Linked DNA regions of Drosophila melanogaster. The gene in region 4 interacts genetically with the main gene of each other region. Each region holds a gene or a part of one and is shown on either strand. Other genes may lie near its edges.

Evidence for each region.
Region 1: of put (region 4) and dally, changing one enhances a phenotype caused by changing the other (phenotypic enhancement), as found in Drosophila melanogaster (one study listed by BioGRID).
Region 2: of put (region 4) and Pp1-87B, changing one enhances a phenotype caused by changing the other (phenotypic enhancement), as found in Drosophila melanogaster (2 studies listed by BioGRID).
Region 3: of put (region 4) and gbb, changing one suppresses a phenotype caused by changing the other (phenotypic suppression), as found in Drosophila melanogaster (one study listed by BioGRID).

What each region holds. Positions count from the first base shown.
Region 1 is NT_037436.4:8,824,672-8,831,873, reverse strand, and holds the start of dally (division abnormally delayed), read right to left. Parts: upstream 4,370-7,202; 5' UTR 3,642-4,369; coding exon 3,371-3,641; intron 1-3,370. UniProt on the Drosophila melanogaster protein: Cell surface proteoglycan that bears heparan sulfate. Functions as a coreceptor for growth factors and morphogens, such as the products of dpp, to regulate signaling and distribution of these ligands.
Region 2 is NT_033777.3:12,420,702-12,427,494, reverse strand, and holds Pp1-87B (protein phosphatase 1 at 87B), read left to right. Parts: upstream 1-1,577; 5' UTR 1,578-1,806; coding exon 1,807-2,715; 3' UTR 2,716-2,884; intron 2,885-2,978; 3' UTR 2,979-3,874; downstream 3,875-6,793. Other genes in the region: NANS (N-acetylneuraminic acid synthase), read right to left, coding at 1-441, 548-883; CG17202 (uncharacterized protein), read right to left, coding at 4,029-4,562, 4,625-4,636; Scgbeta (sarcoglycan beta), read left to right, coding at 5,152-6,210; pps (protein partner of snf), read right to left, coding at 6,588-6,769. UniProt on the Drosophila melanogaster protein: Is essential for the regulation of mitotic chromosomal segregation as well as regulation of chromatin condensation during interphase.
Region 3 is NT_033778.4:23,849,836-23,856,166, reverse strand, and holds gbb (glass bottom boat), read right to left. Parts: upstream 4,606-6,331; 5' UTR 4,413-4,605; coding exon 3,045-4,412; 3' UTR 2,920-3,044; downstream 1-2,919. Other genes in the region: bgcn (benign gonial cell neoplasm), read left to right, coding at 296-649, 709-1,674, 1,736-2,417, 2,473-2,608; eIF6 (eukaryotic translation initiation factor 6), read left to right, coding at 6,095-6,331; ytr (yantar), read left to right, coding at 5,355-5,596. UniProt on the Drosophila melanogaster protein: Required for the growth of imaginal tissues and for patterning of the adult wing.
Region 4 is NT_033777.3:14,618,054-14,628,223, forward strand, and holds put (punt), read right to left. Parts: upstream 7,651-10,170; 5' UTR 7,193-7,650; coding exon 7,147-7,192; intron 5,620-7,146; coding exon 5,434-5,619; intron 5,367-5,433; coding exon 5,190-5,366; intron 4,251-5,189; coding exon 4,105-4,250; intron 4,037-4,104; coding exon 3,221-4,036; intron 3,161-3,220; coding exon 2,981-3,160; coding exon of another isoform or gene 2,969-2,980; 3' UTR 977-2,968; downstream 1-976. Other genes in the region: His4r (histone H4 replacement), read left to right, coding at 7,997-8,176, 8,241-8,372; CG7886 (uncharacterized protein), read right to left, coding at 8,957-9,634, 9,713-10,157.

The DNA.
Region 1 (7,202 bases), on a different chromosome or scaffold from region 4:
ATGTTGAATGTTGTCCTTAATAAAGATTGCATTGGCTAAGGTAGTACACTAAATATGAGCCACAAAGAAACTATAGAATAGAATGTAATAAGTTGAAGATGTAAGTTTAAGGTGCTTGAATTTTTTGAAAATTTGAAAATACTTAAATTGAGTTTTAAGGAAACTAAACGTAGAGTTCATTAAATCCTTAGCCGTGATTTATTGACGGCAGACGTATTCTACAGACATTGCCAAGTGCTTTTCCCACGTCTTAGCTTTTCCATGGCATTAAACCAAAGACGTGCCGCATTGAATGACGATTAAGCCAACTTTTAAGCCCGAACCCATTGACTATTTCCACTTGATTCGGTGGAAAGCGGAGTGGAAAACTCATTTCTAGCCATTAAGCAACTGGATGAAACCTTCGTAAAATACTTAAAACGCAGTCGTAATTAGTTTTGTGTCCAGCACCAAATCAATTAAGAATTTTTTCTGGCTTAGAGTTTAATCGATTGGGAGAAAGAGTCGGCAATTAAACTTAACTGAAAAGAACTCAGAACTTAATTGATGAGATAAGTTTGGGATGAGAGTGTTGTGTTCTAAGCTTGAATGGAGGTGGGCATCGAGTAAAAGGGTAGCTCAGACTGCAACTGGAACAGAAATAAATATTTAATTATCCACCAGATATTCCGGATAAAACGTGTATCTCATGAATAAAACAAAATACAAAACGAGTTTCGGGCAATCGGAATTTGGCTGACGATCTTTACGATCGTCGCGACATAAGTGTTATGGATCGTTTTTGGTTCAGCTTGATGGGTTTTGCTACTTTTTGACGAATTTCGCTTAGTCGAAATTTGGCACATTTATGTTGGCAGTTAAGCCTTAAGTGGAGTTCTATGCCATTTGCCATCTCACATGGAATGGAACTTCAACTTTTAATTGGCAGTGCCGAGCGATAGTGAGCTGTGCTGCTCTTCCTCTAACCACTAATGATTTGGGTATGGGATTGGGGCATATGCGCAGTTCTCTAGTTAATTAAAATTTTTACTCGAGGATGAGCTCCTTTGATGGCAAAAGCATAAGCGTAGGCCCACGCACCCAAACTGCAGGTATGCATACCTACGTACATGTCAGGGAAATGGAATCCGTTTGAAAAGTTGTCTGCTAAGCAGTTTTCCCCGCTCCAAACGAGTCACGTTTGCCTTTGCCTTCTCTATTTGCACTTTTCACTTATCTAGCCAGGCGGCACACAAACACTTGCCGGCGGAGGAGATACGCGGATACATGGGCTCATATCTCATGGCTTGCTCTAATTTCTGTTGCGAGTTGCTTAAATATTTAGTAACACGGTCGGGGGCATTGGAACTGCTATGCCTTAAGCATAGATACAGATACTACAGATACTTGCAGGTAAACAGATACAGATACTGTGCGATACGATTAGATACTGCAGCTACGACTTCCTGTGCGTCTTTGTAACGCGCCAATGTTAATGTTCATTTTAATAGGCACGGAGTAATACTGTTTTTTTTTTTTGGCCCAAAAGCAAAGCCAACTCAATTAGCAGTCGAGTGGTGTGCGCAATTAAATTAAAATTTAGTTTTATGCCGAGCGCCTCTACCGGGAACTGCACGGCAAAAGCAAATCGGGAGAAACATATCGTATGCATGGCACCGACGAGAGATTAGCATCACAAACAGCACATAAACGTAAAAGTAACACACTCCAGAGCAAACAGAAAGAGATATAGATGGAGATACGGATACGTACTGTACGGATACAGATACATTAACAGATATACATAGATACATTGGCGGGGCATAAATTCTACGGAGGCGGAGGCAGGCGCAAGTGGAACTATGTAAACAGTAAATAAATGTCGAAAACAAGGTTCGGCATACTTAAGCAGGAGCAACGACCAGAGATACAGAGATACATACATAGGTGCTGATCGGAGATACGCCGCCTGGCATTAGCCAAATTGAAATTCCTCAAAGCCAGCGCTAATAACTTCCAGCTACCAGTTCAATTGGGCATTCTGGCATTCAGGTGGATAAGTCTCTGGGACACACAAACATGCACTTGTAACGCCAACTCTCGGTTGGCTATTCGGTTCTTCACACTTTGATGCCATGGCAATGCGGTCTGCTCAGCAATGTATCTCATAGATAGTTCTTCTTGGCGTTAACTACCTGCGTGTGGGAACGACTGAACAGAATGAGCAAAGAGAACCGAGAACCTCTGCAGACAGGTAAGCATTGGAGGGAAAAGTTGCAACATCATCGCCAGATACATTTGTATTCCAGTCGAGTTTGCGGCTGTGTATCATGTAATTGTGCGTAAACGCGTAAATACCAAGTCAAGGTCGGCTAATCAATAATAATTATTTTTCACTCAATTACACGAAACAGATATATATTGGGTACATTCGCTCGTTTTCGACTGATATTATCGGATTGTATTGCATTATTTGGTTATTCGGTCTTATTTTTGACTTCGGGTATGAAATATGCATAAACAAAAATATGTCGAGTATCTTGTGGATATCGGCTGTGGTAAATATAAATATACCTTCCATAGCCTTCACACAGTTTGGCCTCAGATGCGTGCCACTTGATATGGCAGTGTCGAGAAATCAGAATAACAAATGATGCCGCCGCCTGTGTATCTATGTATCTCTGCATCTGCGAGGTGCCAGATCCGATATGTAATGAACCTGGCGCGGCCAAAAACTTTATCCACGGCACGTCGAAAACTTTTCCGAGGCGTTGCTCAATGCGCAATCTTCTAATTGCAAACGGCGCCCGGCTGTTCGAGTGGTCATAGTTCGCCTCGAGTGGCTGCCCGCTCGAGGGTTTCACTCAGTTCAATGAATTTGCATATGCTTCTAGTTTCTGGCGGGGATTGAGAAGCGGATGGGGTCTAGAACGGACTAGAAATAAGAGAAACTGCAGCTGCGGGATGGCAAAAACTTTGGCTGACGCGCGATTTACTTGGTTGAAGTATGGAAGACTGATGGCGAGGCGAGGGTTAAGACAAACTCTGAAATCAAGGCAATGAATTTCCCGCAAAAGAAATGTTTTTAAACGGAGAGGATGCAAAAGTAATTAAATTGAAAAACCATTATCAATAATCCCAATTTATGTACCTCTTTCTTATTTAATGGAGTAGATAACTTAGACTTTAAGTATTCGAACCACTCTAGTGACCTGGGGAAATAACATACGTTTTCCTCTGCATAGTTTAAAGTTAGTACGTTTGCTCCTAAGGGGCCTTAACCATATTGGTAGCTTTAACTTCCTCCATCGTTCCCCGCTTCTTCCCCAGCCCGCATGTCCAAGTGCATACTCGATATTATAACTCTACGGATGGATGGCGTGAACTTTACCTTTTTCGCTGTAAGTCCCACTCGACTTGATGTCGATCGATTCGAAGTAGCTCTTGACGGCATCACACTGGTGGGTCGATCCCCCAACGGCGTCCTTCGCCCGCGAGTCCCGCTGTAGGCGACGTCTGTGGTGCGTGGTGGCGCTGTGCAGGTGGTGCTGGTGGTGGTGGATACCATCCAGGTCCAGGTGCTTGGCGGCTGACAGGCCGACGAAGCCGCAGAGCAGGGTAAATAGCAAAAGCTGCGCTAGCCGCACGCTCCTGGCCGCCATTTTTGATGGGTGATTTCTGTGTGCAGACACAGTGGATGATGGGGCTAAATTTGATTTGCCTTTGAATGCTTCTCTTATTTTTATTTTAGCCGGTTATTTTATTTACTCTATTTTGCAGCACTTCTTCGTATTTACTTCTGCATGCTGTCTGGGTGAACAGCTGTTCGCGGCAACAAACACACACACTCACACAAATGCACTTGCCGGCTAACACGCACACACACACACTGGCACACACGGCCACAAACACGAGCGCACAAAACAAAAGGCCCCAAAAACACGCGTGAGCAATAAACGTGGTAGTAAACGTGGGATGGCGATAGTGGGTGGTGGTGGGTGGTGGTCGAAGAGAGAGCGCGTGTCTAGCACTTTTTGCTTTTCTACTTTCTAGTTTTGAAAGGTCGCTAAATTTCTCACAAGTATTTTCTTAACTTATTCAGAGACTTTCCATGACATAACAACGAATAGTACTCAATTCCTTAGCAATTGATTTGCCAGCGATTAGATTTGTTTTTTTTTTCTTCTTTTTAATTTTCTCCTACGTTTTGTGTACTTAGGTCGGCGAAAATAGATTTAATTGCAAAGCTCCTTGGCCACCGGCGTTCTCAGGTCGAGGAAATGCACTCGCCTTCTTTTCTAGCGTTTTTCCGCTCGAATTTCGCACCGATATTTTCAGTTTTTCCGCGCGCGCAACGAACCTTCCACGACGAGAAACCCGAACAGATTGACTTTGCCATCGAAATCAAACATCCGCCCTGAGTGCTACAACTTTAACGATGCGAACACGAACCACACTCGGCACTCGACAATCGGCGCTAAGAGAACCATCCGAACGCTCTCTTTCGAACAAAAGAGAACGGCGAGCACAGATGTTGGCACAGTGGTGCAATGAATAGAGGTGTTTATGCGAACTCAATTTAATTCACAGGTTAACGCCGAGAATACATGAGTAATACAAGGGCGCAATCTGAAATGAATTAATTAATTTGAGTCTTTAGAGTTTTGGAAAACGAGCTTCGAACTAAACCACAAACTTTGTAATGCTTATTAGATATTATAAAGTATTTTAATTAAGGAATGCCCAACCACAATTTATAAGATGTTGTATTTATTAACAGCATGTAGTATGAGTAAAAGGGGAAATTAAAGTTAGTAACGCAAGCTTAGCTTTCGTAAGATATCTATTCTCTTCGATGATTGCCAAACGATTTCGACAGCCAATGAATCTACGTAGTTCCATAAAATTTGATATGACACATATCCTGTTTTCGTTTTATATATTTCAATAGTGATTCGCATTTATTTATGGGTTCCGGCATTCTTCAGGACCAACTTCGAGTTTTCCCTGGCCGTGTCATCTGCCACAGGAGCTGGCTTGATTCTGATTATTTTTCTCTGTGTCCGATGGGCCTAAATATTTATTCAAATTCTCGAAATGCTCTTCTAAAAGCTTTCAACGTTGGCTCGCTGCAATTTGCATATTCAACGTAAATCAATCCATCTCACAGTGGTCTTCTCGGGTGCTCCGGTGGCTTTTAATCCGGGCTTTTATCGATGCCGCTGGTTGAAATTTGCATGCTCGGTTCTAATTGATGTCTGAATGAGTTCTAATTTTATTTCATAGGCTATGTTTTACGATCGGCTTGATGAACCCGTGGAGCAGGCTCAGATTTCACGCCTTTGAAGAGTCTCAGATGCTTGGCAGCTATTTCCCTAGGGCTAAATGTTTCTGTTCAAATTGATAGCCGTGTCATGACCTCGCACAGCACGTGTGGTGGTATCGTTTGTTTTTTTTTCTTCATTTCTTTTCTTTTGTTAATTTTTTCCCTTTGCAATTTGCGAAAACGAAGCGATTGTCTTGAGGCTGCAGCGGTGTGGCAGACAATGCACGACCCGAACACACCAGCCTCTTCTCCCCGGACTTTCACTCGTCACCCCGCGGGCACCGACCTCGATCTTAAATACCTAGGCGTCTCGGGGCGTCTGTGTATCTATTTCTTCATTAACAAGATACTATATAGCCAGGGCAGCGGGAACTTCATGGTGGTCAGTTGCGGGCGTCCAGCTGGGCGCAAACGCCCTCCCACCCCCCATGGATGTTTTCCGTTCCCGGTGATATGTTCATCACGAAATGGAATCCTATTCAAATTAGTGTGCGATAAAGAAAGACCTCCCAAAAAATAAGAAAAAAAAAAGGAGAAGACTCAAGACCCCGGGGCAAACAGCGAAAAGTGAGTCATGCGAAGCGGAAACAGTTCTCCAATGAAACGAATCCACATCAGAAACAACCGTGATGATGATGATGATGATGATGGTGATGGGATGGCGAAACGGCAACAAAAAACAAAAACGAGCTGGAAAAGGTGAGGTCGAAAATTAAACACCACCACATCGTTTAGATAAAGTTATAAATTATAATGTACACTACGGAACGATCGATGAGAGCGAAGGTCCCAAAGAAACCGAAACCGAAACCAAAACCAAAACCCTTTTACTTCTCGCTCTCTCGCCTTATTTTCCGTTTTTTTTTCCTCCTTATTTTTGTATCGCACAGGTAAACCGTAGGCATATATATTATATAGGTGTGTGGGTAAAGGTAGGACTGGAATTAAACGAATTTAGTCAAACGGCATCTATAAATTATGGTGCTTCTTTTTGGCGATCGGGAAAATATGAACGCTTTTAGCTCGGCTCGTTGGCTTGTTGGCCCAACTCGAATTTCGTTTAAACGCTTGATTTAGTGCAGCAAAATATGGCCAAATGTTGGGCTATCTATGCAGTTGTATCCGCTTGTGTTTGTGTGTGTGCGCGCATTCCACAAGCGACAGCGTTTTACACTTGAAATCCTCCGGAGCGGGTCGAAAAGAGATGGATATATATACCCATGGAGCGACCCGGCTTGCCTTTTATCCTGGCACAAACACGTTGGTGGCATTCGGTTGTTGGTGTGCCTGCCTGTGTGTGTGACTGGTCCAACAGGTTCCACGGAGATTCTTCTCCAGTACCGCTCCCTCATGCCCGAAGACTGGCATGCAGCATTTCTCGTTCTCGGTCTCGTTTTGCACATTTTTGAATTTTATTTTAATTTCTTTTTATTATATTTTAGCTGCCAGGCTGCCCCTTTTCAGTGGGGGCCCCCCTTTTCTGGTACTTCGCTTCGGGTTTCTTCTGCTTTGAGTTTGGAGTTTGTGTGCAACTTTGGGCTTGCTGGCTTTTCATTCACCAAAAACTGGTTCGACGTTTAAGTTCTTCACTTGGCTTAGACGGGGGTTTTCAAGGAAGTTCTTCGATCCCACACCCCTCTCGTTCGCTGTGGAATGTGTGAAGTCATCGAGCTGGGGGCAGAGATTTGAATGCCAGCCTCGTCTTCTTATATTTTAAAAGACCTGGGCGGCACTTGCAGTAACAGGGTCTTGAAAATTCCATGCCCCCGCACACAGTCGCACATGCTACGCGCACAGATACTCTCACTTACACAGATACTCACGCACACACACACCTGCCGCCCCTCGAGGGCTGCTCGTTTTTCCATCGAATCTGAGAATCAGTCAAACGAAACAG
Region 2 (6,793 bases), 2.2 Mb from region 4:
CAGAGCTTTTAATTCTTGCGGCTCTAGGGAGCAGCGATGATCGGAGCCCTTCTGACTCTTGTCCAGCGTAAAGTGGCGCTCCACTATGCGTGCTCCCAGCAAGACGGCGGCCTGGCTAATGATCACTCCCAGCTCATGACCCGAGTACCCAATTGCCACATTGGGAAAGCGTGTCCTTAAGACGGATATCAACTGCAAGCTGCAATCTTTTGGGTCAGTTGGGTACGATGAAACGCAGTGCATTAGAGCGTAGTCCTCTTTTCCTGACTCCCGCATAGTTTGCACAATCCTCTCCACAGTTTGCATAGTCTGCATTCCGGTGGAGATCACCAGGGGCAAGTTCAAATTGGCGGCCTTTTTGAGAAGCGGAAAGTTGTTTGCGTCTCCGGAACCAATTTTGATGAAGGGAACATTTAGAGCAGAAAGGAACTCCAACGATCTCTGTTTAAAATAGCATATACACACATTAATAACTATTTAAGCAAGAAACAAGGGAAAAAAGGAATTGTTAGTAGTAGTAATTGGTTAACAATTAATTAATATCAACCTCATCCATGGCGGAAGCCGTAAAGTCCACATTTAACTCCTTGCAGTGGGCCTGCAGCTGGAGATACTGATCTTTGGAGAACTCCAGGTACTCCTTGTGCTCCCCGTACGTTTTTCCCCAGGCGTGATCACTGATATATTCGCGATCTAGAGCGGATCTCGTAAACTTTGCTGGCAAATCCGATTTTTGAAACTTGACGCAGTGGCAACCGGCTTTTTTGGCCTCCCATATCATTTTCTTCGCTGTTTCCACACAACCTTGGTGATTTTGGCCAATTTCCGCTATAATATAGACGGAATCAACTAATTTTCCGCTTATGATATCGTTTAACAGCATTTTGATTAAATTGAAACCCGCCTATTTAACAGTTAATTAAATGATTAGCGGGCGTAGGCAGGAAATGCATAGAGTATCGAATTATCGATAACAAGACATGAGCACATTTCATACAAAATTTTTACATAGTGTGATTGTTAATATATCTATCAATATATTATTTAGTTTTGTGAGAATTTAAGGGAAATTTGGCATTTTAAATCATAACTCATGTGGAAGTTATTCCAATAAGGAAAATGAATTAACCTATGTTCTGTAAACGAATATTCTTATTGGCTTATTTGAATTTCCAATGTATTTAAATATCCCCTTGTTACCGGTATATCGAATAGCCTCGCCAAATGCATCAGTCTCCCATCTCTTTTCCACAGTAAGTCATGCCAGGCGTGCCTGAGTGCAAGCGGGATGGCTAGTGTCCCCCTGATCAGGCTGCCACACCGCTGAAATAGAGTAACTGGACGCCATGCGTTTAATCGATTACTAACAGCAGTTTCGAGCCACTATAGGGTCGAGAAGACCCGTTTCGAATGAAAATATAAAAGTAGAGCTATTGCGGAACTCTTGCAATGGATTGGAAATGTCCTTAATGTAATAAGAGTAATATTACAGCAACTTCGTTATCGATTATGCACTATATTTGCATGTTATCGATTAGATAAGATGGCGTCTATTATCTGGCCATATCCGCGACTTCCGGCAGTGTGGCAACATCAGCTAGAAGCACACTCGCCATCCCGCCCGCACTCACGCAACAGCATACGAAGAAATTTTCATACTTGTTAGCTGTGAAAAGTATTTAGCAGAAATAGATTTCGGAAATTAAAGATTTCGAGGCTATTTCGGCGCTACCAACGATCGTTCGCGGTAACCTCGACACCCAACAGCAGCACTAGTGCACCAGATCCACACTTTCGCACGCAAACATGGGCGACGTGATGAATATCGACAGCATAATATCGCGACTTCTCGAGGTGCGTGGGGCACGGCCAGGTAAAAACGTACAGCTCTCGGAGGGCGAGATCCGGGGACTTTGCTTGAAGTCGCGCGAGATCTTCCTGTCGCAGCCCATTCTGCTCGAGCTAGAGGCACCGTTGAAGATCTGCGGCGACATCCATGGACAGTACTACGATCTGTTGCGTCTGTTCGAGTACGGCGGCTTTCCGCCGGAATCGAATTACCTGTTCCTCGGCGACTACGTCGATCGCGGCAAGCAATCGCTGGAGACGATCTGCCTGCTGCTCGCCTACAAGATCAAATACTCGGAGAATTTCTTCCTGCTGCGCGGCAACCACGAATGCGCCAGCATTAATCGCATATACGGATTCTACGACGAATGCAAGCGTCGCTACAGCATCAAGTTGTGGAAGACATTCACGGACTGCTTCAACTGCCTGCCAGTGGCGGCCATTGTCGACGAGAAGATCTTCTGCTGCCACGGTGGTCTCAGTCCCGATTTGACCTCCATGGAGCAGATCCGTCGCATTATGCGGCCAACCGATGTGCCCGACCAGGGACTGCTGTGCGATCTCCTGTGGTCCGATCCCGATAAGGATACCATGGGCTGGGGCGAAAACGACCGCGGCGTTAGCTTCACCTTCGGTGCCGAGGTGGTGGCCAAGTTTTTGCAGAAGCACGAGTTCGATCTCATCTGCCGAGCCCATCAAGTCGTCGAGGATGGGTACGAGTTCTTTGCCAAACGCATGCTGGTCACCCTGTTCTCGGCGCCCAACTACTGCGGCGAGTTCGACAATGCCGGCGCCATGATGTCCGTGGACGATACGCTGATGTGCTCGTTCCAAATCCTCAAGCCAGCCGACAAGCGTAAAAAGTAATATCACACAACTGCAGCACCACGAGCAGTCTTTTTCTATCTAAAACAGATCAATAAGAAATCCAAACAAGATACAAAAGATAAACACGACAAAAACAACCACAAACCCAACCACACAATCAACCAGAAATAAAATCCTTTGAAACAACACATCAAATGATGCATGAAACGTAAGTATGGGCTGCTGACGCAGAGTAACAAACTAGTGAATCACACTCTCACCCCAACCTTATCTCTGTTTTTGGTCACTTTTATCATCGGCAGCCGGGGCGAGTCGAAATCCACAAGAAATTGCACCATTAATTTGGTATGGAATAGCAGCGCCACGATCAAAGGACATCCCCAGAGACATCCCTTCCAGCAGATGACTGCAGTTTTCCCCTTCCACCCCACACCCATTGAGATTTAAATCGCAATTACAAACACATTGACAAATACCATGATTAAAAGCCACATATTTATTTGTAATAGCCCCCGTATATATATATATATATGTATATCTACCGACCGACCAACCATTCACCCACGCACACACATGTACACACATTTGAACACCAGCGCTTTTATAGGTTTTGTCCAAAATTTAAACACTAGGTTAATCAACTGACCGTTCGAGCAGAGCACCAAGCGCATAACCATGCAGATTAGATGGAAACGGAGCAGCAGAGGAGCGACTGGACGCCAGTCGGTCACAAAGCATACAGATGTGGGGGCCCTGTAGTGCTCGTTGGCCTTAAGAGTATAGAGCAAGTGAAAACAAAACAAGAAACAAAAAATCGAAGAGGGGAAATCGTTGAACCGAGGAGGTGGAGGCGAATGCTTGCCAAGAAGTATAAAGAGGAATTATAAGCACTAAGTTTCGACCTTGAATCAGTTTTTTTTTTGTTCGTCCACAATGCAGTCCGACCGAATGGACCAGCCAGCCAGCCAGCCAGAGAAATATCTGCAAGAAAATCAGCGAAATATATTAGTTTGTCCCTAAAACTCCTTACCATTCATCAGCTATTCAAACGTCCGCTTCCCGTCATTTTAAGGATGTGTTTTTTAAAAATTAACTATTATTAATATGTATTATCAATAATCCTTTGTATTAATAAACAAATGATATAAAACGTGTATGAATTATGAAACTGATTTCAATAAACACATTTGAAAAATCCATAATACGCTGCATGCGCTCATGCTTTATTTCGCTTTATTTACATGTAAATTCCGGAAAATACTTAACATTTCTTCTAAATGAATGCGTTCTAAATGGGATGTTTTTGTTTTTACGTTTGGTGTGTGCTGGCACGTGCTGCTGTCATCTGAGATCTACTCACTGGAGCCACTGGCTTCAGCTTGGACGGTTGGGCTTGGCTGTGCGGCTTCATCGGTGGTCACCACCGAGTTCCCCTCAATCTGGCAGGCCTCCACAGCGGCAGTTATCTCCGCAACGTCCGCCGAACTTTCGTTAGGTTTCTCCAGCTCAGTCTCGCCGTTCTCCTGCTGCTGCTGCTGCTGCTGCTGCTCCGCCGCCTCAGTGGACTCGGCCACGGTCTGTGGCGCCTCCGTTGCGACCACTACTTCACTTGAAGCCACTGGCTGATGACCCTGGAGCACGTCGGGATTGATGCCGTTGATGATGGCGCGCAGACGCTGGATCTCCTCGTTGGCCAGCTGCAGATCCTGCTGCAGGCGCTCGTACTTGTCGTGCTGGTGGCGCACCACGCCGATGTGGTTACGGATGTAGTCCATGGGATTCTCGGGCCGCTCCTTGATCACGCGTATGAAGAGCTTGGTCAGCGAGTCCAGGACGCTGCCGCGCTCTAGATAGCGCCGGATCTCGTCGCGCTTCGGGTCAATGGGCTGTGTCATTGCGGGAGACTCTTGTTTAGCCAATGGCAATCAGTTTTTGGACAAAAGCTCACCTTAAAGGACATCTTTGCAAAATGGAGATGTGCGGTGTGGCTGTGGGCGCAACTTCGAAAAATGCCAAAGTCAAGCCCCCTTGAAGCCAGGGCTGCGTGCTGCAATCATACGGAACTGGTTCGGTTCCAATTGACTTTTTATGGTTACACTTTTAAAATTCAATTTTTGAAAGTTTAAATGGATTATGAAAACCAGTGTTTTACATTTAATTGATTGTTTTTTTTTTGTTCTGCTCTCCATTAAAAAATATATATTGGTAACTGAGTTCTAGCAGTTGAAAATGTTATATTAACTTTTGAAAATTGACTTTCTCGTTGTAAAGATAATTTGGAAACCACTTTTTCATATTTCGAAAGTATTCAAAATTCGAATATATCGGATTTTTCGAAACTTGCGGCTGAGAACGCACTGCGCATGTCCAACAATTGAATCTCTCACATGTACATGCCCAATTTCCTTGCACTGAATACAGCAATTGTGCAAACGGTTTTTTGAGTTCAACTCGCCAGGAATTCAATTCAATCCAATGATGCACACATTCGAGAACACCTTCATCCGTGGACCATCGCCGTCATATTCCGACGACGCCAACTCGGAGAACGCGCTCTCTGTGACGCTGCCCATTGGAGGAGTTGTGCCGGACTTGGACTTTTGTCGCGACGACTCGAAAACGGATACGGGCGATTACTTCGATGAGAAGTACAACAGCGACAGCTGCTCCCGCCTGCATCCGGGTCACCAGGGACGCAACACGTTCGCCTTCTGGACCATTGTGGTGTTGCTGCTGGTGCTGACCGTTGGCAATCTTCTGCTGACGCTCACCATTGTGGGTGTGCTTCGCCTGGGCAAAGGTGTCCAGGGCATGGAGGTGATACCCGAGGTGGATTTGGTGAAGTTCTACGGTACCACGGACTTGGAGCGCGTGCAGACGAACTCGATTGGCCAGATACACGGCTTCTCGGATGTCCCGGTGACCATCAGCAGTGATGCTGGTGACGGCGAGGGCGGCGTCCATGTGCGCGTCTTCCGCAATGGCAATGGAGCAGCCAGCGAACGCGATAGGATCGTCCTGAACAGGGAGGGTATCCTCGTGCAGGCCACGAACTTGTTCGAGGTCAAGGACCCCGTCGACAAGCAGCCGATTTTCACCACCCATCGTCCGCAGTATAACATTCCGGGCGGAGTGGAGGCGCTGCAGGCCAAAGTGGTTAGTGCCAGCGGCATCGTCAGTCCCATCGACGAGTCCCTGGTGCTGGAGAGCGACGGACGCATGGCCATCAGGGGATCCGAGGGCGTCTACTTCGACGGAGCCAGCGTTGACATGCAGGCCGAGCACCACATTCTCATCAACTCCACGCAGGGCGCCACCATCCTGGAGGCAGGCACGGGTATCTTTCTGGACATGGACCGCATTCCCATCGTCAGCTCCGAGCTGGGTCTCCGCACGGGCAGTGTGCAGTACAAGATTTGCGTGTGCATGCCGCATGGAACGCTCTTCCGGATCGCCATACCCAGGGTACACAACGGACCCAAGATCACATGCGCCCACTTCAGCGGCAAGGACGATCCCTGCGAGATCAACTAAGTGCGTTTGGAAATAAAGTGCAGCGTTACGATTATCGTATCCCTAAAACAAATGTTACGTAGCACTTTTTATTTTCGGAGGAAATGTACACGATTTGTTAGAGCGTAATGTAAAAACCGAATCTAAATTTGCATTGCAATGCGAAGGATGATCCATTTGGAGCTCGGGGCGGGTTGGGTTGTGGCGGGATGATGGGGTTGTGGCTTTAGCTTTGAAAACTAAAAAATTCCGATTGGCCAGATATAATACAGAGATGGCGTTGAATTTGCTTAATGACAATGTACACAATGAGGCGGGCGGGCGGGCGGCAATTCAAATCAAGAATGAAAAACGGATTGGCGCGCGGGTTAGCCAGCGTCCGTCCGGATGGGGGTAACCTAAACACCCGGCGGCGGCGGCGGTGGTGGTAGTGGTGTTGGTGTGAGCGGCGACTGAGCAAGCTGGTGGCGGGTCCTAGACGATCTGGGAATCACGCCTGCCAGATTGTCCGGCACCATGCTAAGAAGCTCAGCTTCACTTAGATGCGCCAAACGGCCTTTGCTCCTCGGCTTCTTCGATGCTACAGGAAAGGAATCGTTGATAC
Region 3 (6,331 bases), on a different chromosome or scaffold from region 4:
CGCCTCTGCACGAAAGAACACATACATGCCTATGTCTGTTGAATAGTTATATTAGTTTTAGTCGAAGATGTCAAGCCATTTAGTAATATCGATCTATTTTAGTAATGTGTGTCTGTCTTGAAACCTAGTTTATACGAATGGGGAATCGCCGCGTTTATTTATGTATAGGTAACTTTGTAAATCAGATTTAATAAATTAAACCCATTTGAAGCGAAACGCTCACAGGCTGCTCTTTATCATTAACCTCCATGTGGAAAGAATGAGAGAAAGTCTACTACCTTTTTCCTATTTTCAGGCAACATCCTCATCATTTTACCCACCTACTACCACATTGTCAAGCTGAACTACATGATCCTGAGCCACTGCCTCACTGGCAGCCTGCAGGAGTGCTCCATATTCCTGCTGTACGATAACATGAGGAATGACTACCTCCAGGCGTTGGTCAATGCCAGCGATGAGACGGTGAAGGTGGTTCTGGCCACGGATATTATCGAATCGCTCTGCCTGAAGGTGCCGTTCAAGTACCAAATAGACACCGCCTGCCGGCTGAACAATGTTTACGATACCACGAGCTGCAGCGGCGATGATCGCTTCGAATGGGTGGCCAAGGACGCTCTTCTGCGAAGGGAGCTAATCCTTCAGCCCAATAGTAAGTACATAGCTCGTCATACATTGTTAACACTAACTGATGCACTGCGTTTTCCGTAGAAGGGGATGTACAATGCTTCCGTCTGATAAGCAAGGAGGCCTACGAGGAGCTAAGCGAGACCAGTCAGCCAAGCCTGCAGACTATGCAACTGGACAAGATCTGCCTGGCGGTGAAACTACTCTCACCCAATACGATTATAAGCGAATATCTGGGTATTACCATCTCACCGCCACCGCTGATCAACGTGCACCATGCCGTGCAGTTCCTCAAGAAAATAGATGTGCTCGATGACGCCGAGGATGTGACCTGGCTGGGCTGCCGCCTGATGGACATCCCGGTCTCCTGTCAACTCGGCCGCATGCTGATCTTCGGCATCCTGCTGCGCTGCCTGGATCCAATACTCACGATTGTCAGCTCTCTGTCGACGGCGGACCCGTTGGGCATTCCGTTTACCGAGGACATCGACAACTTGTGGGACAGGTTCACCATCTACATCCAGAACAGCATCAAGAAAGAGCGGACCTACCTGTCCGACAATCAGTTTTCCGATCACTTCATCTTCGTGCGCTTGTACAAGGAGTGGCAAAACCGAATGCACAACAGGACGCCGCCGCTATACCTTAAGGATGAGTATGAATTCATGCTGAATGGCCTGATGGAGCAACTCACCTCCATTCGTTCCGAGATCGTGAGCTCCTTGCGGGCAGCCAATTTGATTCACAGCCGAGGTAAGCTGTCGATGAACAATCTCAACCAGATGTCCTGCAATTGGCACATGGTTAAGGCGGCCCTCACGGGCGGAATGTATCCCAACATCTATGCCGTGGACACTAGAAAGAGTTCGCTAAAGTCGGCCTTCTCCGGGAACGTTTCCATGCATCCGAACACCGTGCTCCGCGATTTCTTGGAGCCACTGAATATTTCGGCACAGAGCTTCCGCACACCGTGGATTGTGTGCAACAGGCAGAAGAGCCACATTGTTTACGCCACCCTGGTCGTTCCTCTGGCTGTTGCCATGTTCTCGGGTAAGCTCGAATGAATTTCATGTTATATCATTCTGGTTATCATTCATTTTGTATTAATTAGGACATCCACGGATTCGCCTCTCCCCGATCTGCGACAGTGAAATGAGTTTGACCGATCGCAACGTGAACGTCTTTATAGACGAATGGATCTGGATGGTTATGTCCAAGGCTACGGCGGAGATGGTGATGCGCACGCGGTATTACTTCTTTAAAATGTACCACGACTTGCTGAAGCACTGCAGCGAGCTGGACATGTGGCGCCGAGACTGCGAGCCAGTTTCCCAATACACCGTGCTGACTGATACGCTATCGAAGATCTTCGAGAGTGAGGATGGATTCGTGGGCTTCTTCAAGCCTCCGCCCATAACCTTTCTACCGACGCCCCAGCTGCCATCCTTGTACCTCCTGTCCGTTAACGCCCACTTCAGTTGGGCCCGGGAAGTGGAGGAGAACATGCTGTCGAAACCACACCATTTCAATTCGCACTTCATCGAGAGGCAGTTCTTCGTGCTCTACGCAGGCGGCGACTGCGAGGAGTTCCACAGCAGGAACACGCCAGCCTTTATTGAAAGTGTCCTCGGCAAGTTTGTCAGACCCATCGACACGCCCAACCGGCACATCTTTGTGATCCTGTATAGAAAGGATCCCGATATGATGCTCAGCATTAGTCGAGCCAAATTCGTCAATGGTGTATTTATGTTGCAGGAATACTTCCGAAACAACATTCCGGTGTTTGAAATCTTGTAAGTGCAATCCAAGTTGCGGAGAATACTCCAGTCTAATGTGCTCTCCTTTCAGAGATGCGTGTGTGTCGTTGAATGTGCAGACACCGGTGTTTGATGGCCGCCTGATGTCGGCGCTAATTGACAAGCGTGTCGGCAACTTGATTATGGAATTGTTTGCCTTCCGCCACCACTGGATTCACAAGCGATAAAGCCCGCTTCCTCGCGCATATTGCCTGCTTCCCTACTAATTGAGTCCTAAAATAATTAAGAATGATCCAAAGAAGCGTGCCGAAGTCCAAATAGGACTTGATTGTGCCTTTTATTGCTGTGAAATGACTGTTAATTTTAAATGAGAGCTAACCAGAATCAAAATACGTACTTTTAGTACCACATTGCGTCTATCATCGTTGTTTTGAAATATTTGAAATTTGTGCATCCCAATCATGAGTAGATGTGAGACAATAAAGAAGAAGTATCTTTTAATACTAGCCACAAATGAAACTCCTCAAGAGACGAACTTCAGTTAGGTACAGCGCTGTATATTTTTGTATAAAAATATTCGAGATTAGTACAGAGATGGACATCTACACAGAAATGCTTTATATATATAGTGCTATAGTGCTTAGCCTAAGTGGTAAATTGAATTCAATGGCACCCGCAGGATTTCACAATCATGTTTCTATACTTTTTCAGGTTCACATTCTCGTCGTTCAGGTGGTACAGAACGGGTAGTGCTCCCAGCCTGGTCGGAGCGCAGCAGGGCTTGGGCACCTTCTTCGGCTCCAGCAGGTGGACCAGGGTCTGGACGATCGCATGGTTCGTGGCGTTCATGTGCGCATTGAGCGGGAAATTGCACTCGCCGCTGCAGTAGAAGGCGCCATAGCCCTCTGGTGCGATGATCCAGTCATGCCAGCCCAGATCCTTGAAGTCTATGTACAGGGTCTGCATCTGGCAGCTGCGCGTGCTCTCCATCGGTTCCAGCAGCGGCACGTTGTTGGGCGACACCGACTTCTTGCGCTTGCGTGGATGGCTGGCGCTTCGCTTGCTCCTGTGGTGGCTGCTGTGGGCCGTCGCCTTGATCAGCTCCGGTCCGCGGAAGAAGCCGATCATGAAGGGCTGGAACTCGTCGTCCACCTTGCGGTGGATCAGTCCAATGTCGTCCAGCTTCACCTCGCGGTCGGGTCGGTTGACAGCGTGTGCTCCAATGTAGATGCCATGATTGTCCTTCGACTTGACCAGCCACTCGTGCAGGCCCTCGGTCACGTTGAGCTCCAACCAGCCCACGTAGTCCCCGGTGGTGTTCACCGAGGACAGCGGCTCCATGGTGTGCTGGCCCAGCGTGCCGGTGCCAATGGCGTATACCGTGATGGTGAACTCCCTGTTGGCGGTCAGCCACTTGCCCTCGTTGGCGTTCTGATAGATGCGCAGCTCGGCCATCACCAGGTAGTTGTCGTTGGGCACGTTGGAGACGTCGAACCACAGGCGACGGCCGTGCTCGTGACGCAGTTCGTCCACATTGTGGTGGCGCTTGTTCAGGAAGGTCATGATGATGTCGCTCTCGTCGATGGCCCGCTTGTCCAGGTCGGTGATGAAGTTCTTCTGCTGCTCGCCCTCATCCTCCTCGAGGTCGGCGCTCCTCCTGGACCGATGGCCGCGTTCGTAGTCGTCGTCCTCATCCTGATCGCTGAGACCCTCCTCCGCCGTGATGCGGTGGTAGACGTCCAGCAGGAACTTGGGAGCCGACTTCCTCAGCGACAACTGGTGGCTGCTCAGGTGCGTCGGCCGTTCGGCGATGCCCAGGAACTCGAGGATCTCGTACGAGACGTCCAGCTTGTCGTCCTCGCTCAGCACTCTGTGCATGATCGTCTGGTCCTTGCCGTTGTCTATGTAAATCCCCGACTGGGTGGCCTCAACGGCCGGCGGCGTGGTCGCCACGAACATGAGCAGAACCATTCCGAGTCCCAGGGAGGCGAGCACTGCAACGGCCTCCGAGGTGTTTCGCAGTCCCGACATTATTTCGTGTTTTGGACGGATCGGTTGCGATCGCTGTTTTTCTATATCTACGGCGCTATCCACTTGCGATAGCTTCAGATGTACAGTGGCATTTAGTTGTTTATTTCGAGAGTTCCAGCGAACCGCGGGTTCTGAAAATTCTGACGCACTTACGGATTGTTGTGTGTATCTTAATCTTCAAGATGCATTTTCTTTCTATTTCGCGGGAGTTGGCAGTCCCGCGACTTGGAAAATGAATCGGTCTTGAAGATCGAACTAGAAGATCCAACATAGTAGTTCATTTCAGCTGCGATCGTGAGCAAATATGTGGTTTAATAGCTTCAAAAAAAAAAAGAAGAAACTGTGTAAATGTAGAAAATATAACGTTTATATTGGCAAAGTTCGTAATATTTTGATATTTTAAACTATTTATGGAAGTGGTATTGACGAAAGATTTGTAATTATGAATTTGTTAAATTTATCATAGTCCGGGCATAATTTGAAATATAATATAGGTAATGCTATTAAAAAATATTAATTAATATATATACATAGTTCATATTCAAAAGGAAACAGATCGATTTAAACATTCGGTATGCGATATACATAGGATACATTTTTATCGAAGATAAAATCGACCATCAATCGATATCCGATAGGTGGCCATGTTTTGCCCTTGCATCGCATCCCTCGCATCATCATCCGCATTCTGCATTCCTCATTCCGTTTCGGCGTCGCGGCGAGATAACGCGCGTTGTTTATTTGGTTTTAGTTTTAAGTTAGCGCGTTTTTACCCACCGCCGGTGTCGCCCAAATAATGCTAGACACAGCCTAGTGCAACGGTAAGCGGGATGCGTGCGGTGCAATTGGAGTACATGGAGTCTAACATCCGCTCAAATCCACTGCAGGCAAACCATCATCAATCACTCAAACCGCCACACAAGCAGAGACCGAAACGGAGCCATGGGCCGCAGCCGAAGTCCCGCCTCGCCGGCGCACAGGAGACGCGAGAAGGAGCGATCCGAGCGGAAGAAGCGCAGGGAGCGCCGTTCCCGGGAGCGGGAGGCCATCGGAGTAGCGCCAGCCGGAGGATCCGGATCTGGAGGCGCCGGTCGCCGCGACCGGGAACGGGATCGCGACCGCAGTCGCAGCCGAGATCGGGAGCGGGAACGGGAGCGCGACCGTGCGCGGAGTCGGCGATCTAGGTGAATAAGAAAGTGTAGTGTACCAAATGCCAACCACGATAAGTATAAAACTAGTCACTAAAATCGGGGATGTGGGTCACAGTTCAGGGGCGTGCTGGATAACCGTGAAATGGGGTTTAAATAGCAACCAATATTTATAAGTTTAGGATAAGCTTAGGGAGTGTTTGTGTAGATTTAGGAACACATTCCAACACAGGGGACAATTGACCCCTCAAACCCCCGAAATCGCCGTTCAGAACTTGTTTATTTACCCACGAGTATCGATAGACCCACACTTCGATAGGCAGCCAATCGATGGCTATGCAGCTCTGGCGTCCCAACATCAAAAAAAAATTACCACGTGAAGCGAAATTGTGCGAATTTCATCACGACATTTAAATTGATTTCCGGACATATAAACAGAATCCAGAACTCATCCGGCAGCAGGCTCAGTCAGGCCAGTAAATCCGAAAAGAGAGTAACCAGCAGGAAAAGAGGATCCACGTAAATACAGAGAAAATGGCTCTACGCGTCCAATTCGAGAACAACGACGACATCGGCGTCTTCACTAAACTAACCAACACATACTGCCTGGTGGCCATCGGTGGATCCGAGACCTTCTACAGCGCCTTCGAGGCGGAGCTGGGCGACACCATCCCGGTGGTGCATGCGAATGTGGGCGGCTGCCGGATCATCGGCCGCCTCACCGTGGGCAACCGCAACGGCCTGCTGGTGCCCAACTCCACCACCGACGAG
Region 4 (10,170 bases):
TCCCAAAACTGTGCAGAAATTCTTTTGGTGTGGATAGTGCTGACGATTTGCTTACAGAATGATGTTTGATTTCTTGCCCGCTGCACAGGGGCATCTATATATTCTTGTATAACTATTTATATAAACACACTCCACCCTTTGCCCGGCTAGTTTTTCCACTAGTGCGATCGCTTTACGAACCTAGAAACCGTCCCTAACTGCATACTCTCGTATCTCGTATCTTGTATCTTCACTTGCAAAGTTTTCTCCCTAGGACAAACATATCGTACAAACTCAATAAGTACTTATATATACATTAATACCTATTTATACTATTATATATTGTACATGTTAAGCCTAGAACCCAATAAAGATATACTCGATACAGTAAGCTGAGAATGGCTAAGGATTAGGTGATTATACACACACACGGAATGCGAAACCGAATCAATATAGATTTACATAGATTTACAAGTATATATTTTAGTAAGACACCCATTCAGAACGCACAGGACTTGGAATGCTTTACATTTTTGCATTTGATAGAGATCGATTTTTTCCCCAGGATATAGAAGAATGAGAGTTACGAAGCCAAGGATAAGTCTGATATGTCTATAAAACAGACGGAGGATGGAACGAACGATCGTAGAACTACAACTGAAATGGTCCAATGTCACAAACTACGTAGAAGATTGTAAATATATATATTTTGTATCAATTAAGCCTGTACTAGAGTCTATATATTCGTTCGATTTCGTTGTATAAGTTAATCAGGGACATAACTCTAAAAACTCCCCCAGTAATAAACCGTATATTTAATATTATTCATATAAATATTTGTATCTGATATGTGTAGCTCTTGGCTAAGTTTTCCTATCTGTATTGTTGAATTATATAATCCAGAAGGTCTGAATGTTTACGGAAGACAATTGTAATAAAAGTGGCAAGAAAGCTGGAATAGAGTCGATTTTTATTAAGGAAAAACCGGTGATGAATTGTTTATTAAACAGTTGCATTTTTATTTTAAATCCGTTATTATCAAAGATCGTTTTTTAATCGTAAACTTCTTAACACGACTTGCTATCATCTCGTATATGTTTTTCGCATATTGGTTTTTATAAAACTTTGCTGATGATATTCGAAAATGGGGTGTTTTAAAAAGATTTTCTTATGAATTTACTGTTTATAAACTCGTTTTGGTTTTACTTATGAAATGCATTAAAAAATATACCAAAATTGCTGTTGGCTTGTTATTGCCTTGTATAATGCTATAAAAATTTCTCTGCAAATCTTTTTGAAATGATCGATTTATATTATCTTCCTCTATCCCATTTAGCAATCTGATATGTAACAAACTACTATGATTAAATATTAATTGTTTATTCCTTCGCTCTTTAAATACTGGTTGTTTTTGAATTCGTTTCTTATTATCTTCATTATCATTATGTTCGTCGTAATGATGTTTCAGCACCAATGGAAAATATACAAATTAAATACAGCATAACAAAATTCGTTCTATTATTAAGATTATGTCGTTTGGTTTTTGTTTGTTTGCGTAATAAACTATTTTTGTTGTAAGTTGCTCAAAAAAATCAGGTAATGAAGCTTTGTTTGTTTCGTTTTGTTCTGTGTTGTGTATCGTGTTTAGTTGATATCTTAACTGATAATCCAGAAGTATTTCAGATGCTTAGCCATTGATAAGAACTGATGCTGCGCAAAAAAGTTTCAAATAACCCGAAAGATAATACATTCCGCCAAGACTCTCTTAATTAAACTATAGCTTAAATAACTATAGCTCGACATACACCTTGTTTGGCTAACATTATAAGACATACTATCCGTTTAACAATGTTTAACATACTTACTCATTGTGTTTAGCTCTAATTTCTTACAGTGTGTGCATACCTCTTGGGTTGAATATTAACTTTGATTTTTTTTTTGTTTAGATTTTATGCTGACGATGAGTCGCAGCGTGTGCTTCATATAAACCTGCTAGACTGCGTGTGTTCCGTATGCCTATGCGTGTATGTGTTGTGTGTATATATAAAGAGTATAGTTTATATTTTATAATTTATGTATATGCGCTTAAGTTAGATTCTTGTTAAAAAGAAACTTTCCTTTGAAAACTTCAGGTGTTGCTTGTACTGTCCAGTAGAATTAGAATACAATTACATAATTACACATTTATTATGCTTACGCGATTTCTGAGGGTCATTGGCACTACGTTTTGGAAATAAAAAAATAAAAATCAAAAGCAGAAATATAAAACAGACAAAATAATAAAAAATCAGATGGTTAGGATGGAGTTTAAAGTATTTTTATTTAAAATACAACATTAAAACGCATGCACGTTTGAGCGCGAAATAAAAACGTTACAACTAAAAAGTAAACTAAAATTGTTAAATCTATTTTGAAAATAACTTTAAATATAAAACTACTACTATATGAAGACATTCGATAACGTACAAATAAAATTATACTTTAAAAGGCTTGACGATAATTTTCAACAGTTTACATATGCACACAGGCTACTGCCAGAGGGCAAAACAAATTGTACGTTATATGTATGATTTATATAGAACTATATATGGTTATCAGTCAATGAAGTCAATGTCGGATTAGCAACTACCACGTCTCTGGACATAGCTAATGCTCTTTGTTCAAAGTTGCTTAGTGTACGTTTCCACTCATTTCCAACAGATTTAAGAACTCGGGTTAACATCGAATGAGTCGATTTATAATTTAAAGAAAATAATAACAAAGAATCGTTGGCATGTTAAGCTTTTGGCTTTTCCCTTAGGAAAAGTTACATCTTACACGACTTCTTTCGTATAAATCAACCCATTCTATAGCTGCTTATAATGGTACTACAAACTATTAAACTAAAAACGAAACGTCTTACGACCTCGACGATCAACTATCCACTACGAAGCAAAAAGCTTCAACTGATTTTTTTGCAGAGCCACAGATCCGCTGGCTGGTCTGTGGCTTAGTACCGCTTCTATAAGCAATTCGTAGATTCCTTGGCGTCGTCAATGTTGGTGTGGTTCTTGATTAGCAACTGGGTTGAGGGATACTTGTTTAGCTGCGCAAAGCGTTCCATCACACACGAAGAGCTAAGACGAGCCTCAGCGTCGTGATCCCAGCACTCCTCCATTGTGTCGCAGAATACATTAAGTCCCTGTAAAAAAGTTACAAGTTATTTTCATTGACTAAAAGCATTATCAGAAGTCACACTCACCGGATGGGCGCGCCAGGAGTTGAGCAAACGAGGGCGCAGCTTCTTCATTACCACACTCTCCTGAACTTCGTCCAGCGACGGCCTCAGGCCCAGCTCGGCCTCAAAAGGCAGCTGGAACTCACCGACGGGTCCGGCAAAGTCACACCGTGACACCATTTCCCAGAGGACTAGGCCGCATGCGTAGACGTCTATGCGTAAGAAAGCGTCTCTATTGAAATTGATGGCACCCTCAAGCACCTCTGGGGCCATGTAACGTCGAGTGCCTACTTGACCGTGTGTATCGCCGCAGGGCTTGCCTGGCTGGAATATCATGGCCAAACCAAAGTCAGCTATACAGGCCGTCAGATCGCTCTTAAGCAGTACGTTCTTAGACTTGAAGTCTCGGTGAGCTATCGATGGTTTTAGCCCATCGGTCTTTGATGCCGGGATCTCCTCGTGCAGATGTGCCAGTCCATTGGCCATGGACTCAGCGATGCGGCACAACTCTGGCCATGAGATCGTGTGCGATTTGAGGTAGTCGCATAGTGATCCGTTATGCTGGTAGGTGGATATCAGCCAATATTCCGGCTTGTCCATGTGCTTCTCAACGCCCAGGAATTCGAGGATGTTCGGATGGCGCATGCGCGGCAGCTTGTAGATATCGTGCTCCGTGGTCCACGATTCTTTTTCCTGCATGCGAAAGATCTTGACGGCCACATCCTGATTGTTGAGCTTGGCTTGCCACACATCACCGAATCTACCACTGGCCTTCTGTTCCAGCAGCTGAATGGGACGGTTGCTGAGCAATGGCGATGAGTTTGTTATCTCAGCCTCGTGCTAAAGGGTTTAATTTTGCATAATTAAAATTATATATTTGCGGCAACATCACAAGGATATGTACGTACCGTGGGTATCTCGTTAAAGTGCGCCTGCTTGCGGCGTCGGTAGAGAAGAAGGCCCATGCCAACAATGACCATGAGCACGCTGAAAACGGAGGTGCCAATGTAGATGTATATCAAATTGCTGCCGTCCTGCGTCTTCTCCTTGGGCACTGCAACGATACAAGGACACACACGGGAACGAACATTAAAGAGGGCTTTAAACGCTGCCTTGCCACAGGTGAACAACATCTCGAGTGGCGGCATGCACCTGCAGCTGCTGGGGTTGCTATGAAAGGCAAAACGAAAACTAAAAAACGAAAGTTCGCCCCCAATTTCGCATCTCTTTTTCCCCTCATTTTGTTTCGAGATAAAAGCGAGCTAGGCCCAAGAACAAAACAACAAAGAGCAGGGCACAAAAGACGCCCTGGCAGCACAGGGCTTCGAAGTCAAAGGCAGCAGCAACACCCCAAAAATAAAAACAAGAAAGGATGCTAGAATGAAGTCACTCGACACTTGTATACCTGGTATTAGATAACAGATACTCTCCTCGTTGTGGGTTAAGGCTGCAAGCCAATTAAGTATCATTCAAAATAGGTAGAGTCTAATCCTATTAAGCCTTCATAATCGGAGTGAAATAAATTGGATTTATACCAAATAACTACCTCTTTCAGTTGCATCCTTTAAAGCGAACGCATTATACCCGATCGCTAAAGAAGTACCTTACTATAAAAATAAAAACGAACCAGCGAACGTGCACAGGAGGGCAGAAATTGCAACACATGCGGCTCCGAAAAGGGGTTGCTGGAGGCTGGGGATGTAGAAAATGATGGGGGAGCGGGCGCCACTTCGCGTCAAGAGTTCGTTAACACGAAAAACGCTGCCTCGGATGCGAGGAGTGGTATTTTGTAGGCGAAGCCTACGCCCTCTTTTTGCAACTTGAAGATGCAGTAAAAATACAAAAAAAAAAAAAAAAAACGAAATAACAAAAACAAACAAAAAATATATGCAAACGGAAAAATAACAAAATTGGGGTAAACACTCCAAAGACAAAACCCCAGTAGCAGCAAACGTTAAACCGAATCTGAATCCGAAACCGGATCCGAACCCACCTTGTGTGGTTGCCTCCGTGGTGCTTTTAATATATTTCTGGTTGGAATTGCACCGCGATCCCTTGCAGCAGCAGAAGTGAATGTTTCCCTGCCGTGGCTCTGCACTGGTCACGCACTCCGTCTGATTGCATTCGTGCATGTCCGTGAAGCAGCCCTTCATCTTGATGCGCAGGATGCCTATGGGAACGGAAAAATTAAAATTAATCAGTATGCCTGAAACAACGTCAACTTCTGCACGGCTCACCCGTTGTCTCGTTGACCGACCAAAGGACATAGCAGCTGGGAAACTTATCCGCCTCCATCTTACAGTGCTCTATCCGTGTTTCACATTGCTGCGTTGTGTTGCACATCTTCTCGTCGAAGTGCTCGCATTCTATGATCCCATGACTTCCGGGCAAAATAGATCCATGGATTCCAATCAGACAGCAGACTAAATGAAGACAATGGGAAAATAGATTAATAATCTTTCTAGTTTTAGATTAGCACTGATCTATATTTAAAGTATATATTTGAGCAGTCCTAAAACATGAGTAAAGACTTTCAAAAAGTTAAAACGTAGTTAAAGATCAAAGTTAATGGAATTATCGGTTGGAAGTGCTCAAAGGGTGGGCAAATAAAGTCGAGCCTATTTGGGGAATAAGACTGAAAGGGAGGGCGCTCAGCGAGCTCTTTGTGGGCGCTATCCTTTGTACACATATCGCATGCCCAGAAGTAGCAGGAGTAGCGTCCTAAGCTGGGGCCTCTGCCATTGAAAGCCACCCCATTTGGGCACGGAATTAGCCCCACTGGCCACACACCAGCCTTTGAGTGGGCATGGCCCCAATGCACGGATATGCAGTGCACAGTGGGCCTGCAGTAAGGTTTCTTGAAAATCTATTTACATTCTTTAATTCGATTTAATCTGGGATCCTCATCCAAATACCGAAATTTTTGTTGATAAAAATTAAAATGATAATTCACTTTTTAAATGTGTAAATACAAAAAATTTAATTTTGAAAACGTTTATTGCAACGAGCCTGCGATATATTGATTGATATTTCTTGACCATTGGCTAAGCAAACTGTTTTCAATCCTTTGAAACACTTTTCGTCCCACTGTCCTTTAGGTAATCGGATCGCTGGCCATGTATGTGTGTGTTCGTAAGCGTGCATGCTTTATAGTAAAGTAGATACATAAGCAGGCACATTATGCACACAGAAAGGGATGGGTTTAAAGTGGCGCTTGTGCGGAAAAAGGAAACAGCAGCAGCAGAAACAACAACAACAACAGCAGCAACAGGGAAGAGAGCGCACTGCGCCACAGAAAGAGAGAGGGCTATGGCGAGCGAAAGAGAGGGAGGCCGGTGGAGCAAAAGGGTGGGAGAAACCAGAACCTGCCATACAACAAGTTCCTAATGCAGCAAAATCCATTCAAAGAAATGCTCAGCGCACACACACATGGATTAAGATTGGGAATTAGGTATCCGATCGATTTATACCGAGTATGCGTTTGGCGCTCAACATATGAATTCGTAGTACCCACTGTCAACAATTCTTACGATATTTTACTACATTTGTGTAGTACAATTGTTGGTGCTTTAATAGAGTATCTAGTGTATACATTATTCACTTCACAAATAGATTTGATTCCTAGCATTTACATTCGTTATACCTAATTTCTGAAAATTTAAGATGTTCTGATGTGTTGGTTAATAGGACAAAGCTATCACAAAGCCTATACACCCTATATATGAACTTTTCAAGCGCCATGTGATATTAATAAAGTAATAGCATTACGCACCCCATATCATCAAAAATCACACGCACGAATGGTTATAAATCGAAGTCGGCTTGCATTACAGAGGAAAATCGTAAGGCAGAGACAAAATATAATATTATGTACATATGTACATAATAAAGCGACTGGGAATTAAGGCGCCAATAAGTATGCACCCACACACTCGCAGTGCAATACATACCCAGCGTTAGCTGCGCCGTTAGATAAAGCAGATCGTATTTGGACATTGTTATCGCCTGTGCAAACTTGTTTACAGCACTCGTTGCGTATACGTAACGCGAATATTTCGATGTTTCGGGGACAGGTGCAGTGGAATGGAATAACTGGGTACTGTTAATATTATTTTGGCACAGAGTTCCTGTTGTCTTCGCACTTTTCGAGTACAGCACTAAGTGTGTATGTGTGGGTGGCCGAGTGTGTGTGCGGTGCCTTGGCAGCGATTTTGCTGGCCACACGCCGTTTGCATGCGCATTTCCGCGGGTTTTACTCGACTTTTCGCCGCGACTTAATTTTAAGCTAGAGGGGCACAGTTGAAAAAGTATATGCGCGCTGCACTTTTTCGTTTTTCGCAGGTCTGCGGGCCTGTTTTCAAGCGATTTTAGTGCGAGCACGTCTTTCGGTTCGATTAAATCTTTTTTGTCGCAACGGGGCGGCGATAGCGATGGCCGATAGGCGATAACTGACCAGGGCTGGTAGTGAGACAATAGAAATACTAGATACGCGCATTTTGCGAAAGGTATTTTGAGGTGTGCGAGATCTGGTCACGCTCACAAGCAATTTTCTGGAGATTTCTTGAAGTGAGTTTTGTTGCTGAGAAATTTAAGTAAATAATAGAAGAATCGGTCAACAAAGTTTTTTTGTGCATAAACATAAAAAAAATAATTGGAGACCATTATTTTGTATGAAAACAGACTTATTAACAACAGTTTTCACCTGTCAAATGAACGTTTACCTTTCACCAAACATGGCGTCGCTTTACAGTTTATTGCGTCTTCTCTTCTTTTCAGCCAACTTTACGAAGCAACTGAGAAATGACTGGTCGTGGAAAGGGAGGCAAAGGATTGGGAAAGGGGGGCGCCAAGCGTCATCGTAAGGTGCTTCGTGATAACATCCAGGGTATCACCAAGCCTGCTATTCGCCGTTTGGCTCGTCGCGGCGGTGTTAAGCGTATCTCTGGCTTGATTTACGAGGAAACTCGCGGTGTGCTAAAGGTACGTTCTGGCGAAACGAAGGGAAAGTGGTGAAAAACTGATTAATTTCTCGGAAAATTCACAGGTATTCCTTGAGAACGTTATCCGTGACGCTGTCACCTACACCGAGCACGCCAAGCGCAAGACCGTGACCGCCATGGACGTGGTCTATGCCCTCAAGCGCCAGGGACGCACCCTTTACGGATTTGGCGGTTAAGCACGCCCTCTAACCTCCACATAATAAATAACCATGGAGTTAACTTAACTACATTCAAAATACTTGATCCAATTGAATCTTAATCAGTAGTATTCAACGCAAACTTAACCGAACGCAAATATTTTATAATTTCACAATATACGGACTAAATAAATCAAAAGATATCACATAGAGAACTCAATATCATGCATATGTGCATTTTGACTTGGGGCGGTTAATCATCCGAAAATAAGGTCCAACAAACTCGCTTAGGGAGCACACAAATAATAAATCTTTAATGGAAATTAGTAAGACCAAAGTATATTTTTGTACATTTTTGGTGCAGCTTGAATTCGCAGATGGCAGGACGTGCAAAAAGGAGCAGGTTCCCTTTTCTACTGCTACTGCCCGGGAGTATGACTGCAAATTTAGCTCTCCCAGTGGGGATCCTATCGAATCGAGTTGGCTGCTTTGTTGTGGGTGTGATGGTGGTGGTAGTGGTGTTGTTGTTGTTACTGCTCGGCGTATCAGCCAGCTGTGGTGTCGCTGCTCCGGCTGCGAATGGCTGCGGGGATTTTGAATGGAGGAACCTAAAGTCACGACCCCTAGGCGCTCTGCTCCCGCTGCTTCTGGAGCTGCAGGGACATGTAGACATTGGCCGGGGATATGACATTTTGGTCGCCGAAATCGCCAGAGCCTCCACCACCGCCGGCATCTCCGTCGCCGGCCTCTTCTGTGAGTGACATGGACTCCGATTGCTTGCGCCGCACAAAGACATGCATGGAGGAGTATTTCGAGCTACTAAGTAACGTGGAGTCCGTCGCCTCCGTCTCGTAGTCTGAGTTCTCCAGCGTAACGTCCGTTGAGGAGAGTTCTTCGGAGCGGGACATATACGACGACTCCATGTGCATGTCGCCGACTGGTACCTGAAGATCGTCCTCAGGCCGAGGTTTAAGGCGCTTTTTCCCCGTTTTACCAGCATTCGCTTGTCGTTCCAGATTGCTAACGAACTGCGCCACATGTCCATCGCTGGCGCCTGGGACACGTTTTTGCACCAAAGCCTCGACCAGTTGAGATTGCCTCTGCCTCCTGTGGGATCCGTCACCCACGCCCACCACATAGCCGTGCTCGTAGCCCCGCTTGACTGGCTGCTGCTGCTGCTCATGCTCATAGTTGTAGACATAGGCCGTATCGCCCCCGCCGCCCTCGTATCGGTGGCCAGGATTGACCATCACATTGTCGCCAATGTCCGTCTCGAATTGAACAGAGGGATTAAGCTTGAACTGTGGGGATAAGATGGGTTATCGTACAGGAGAATAAATTGCTAGTACTGGTTAATTTATATTGTGGATACTACTCACATCTCTCTCGTTGGCAAACTCATGGTCCGACTTGGACTCGCGATTCTTTTTGGCTGCCTCCTTGGGATTGTTTTCCACATACTTAATCTCACTGCGAACCTTGCGCACCTGGAGATGTTTGCGTTGGACCTGCATTTGCTGTTCGTAATGCTGTTGCTCCTCGTTCTGCGGCTCCGACTCGGATTGACTTTCCTCCGCCTGCTGTTCCTCCTCCTCCTCCTCCTCCTCTTCCTCCACGTCCAAGTCCACCTTTTTCTGCACGTCGCGCAGATTTCGGATTTGCTGCTCCAAGGAAAGATGCTTGACCTCCATTGGTGGGGGTTGTTGACGTTGCAGCTGCTGCTCCTTGCGCAATGTGACAATCTCGCTGCGGGGTGTGACTTCGGGACTGGTGGCCGCACTGTTGACCAGCCGGTTGAAGTGCGACTGGCGGTAGCTTTGGGAACTGTGAAGAAATA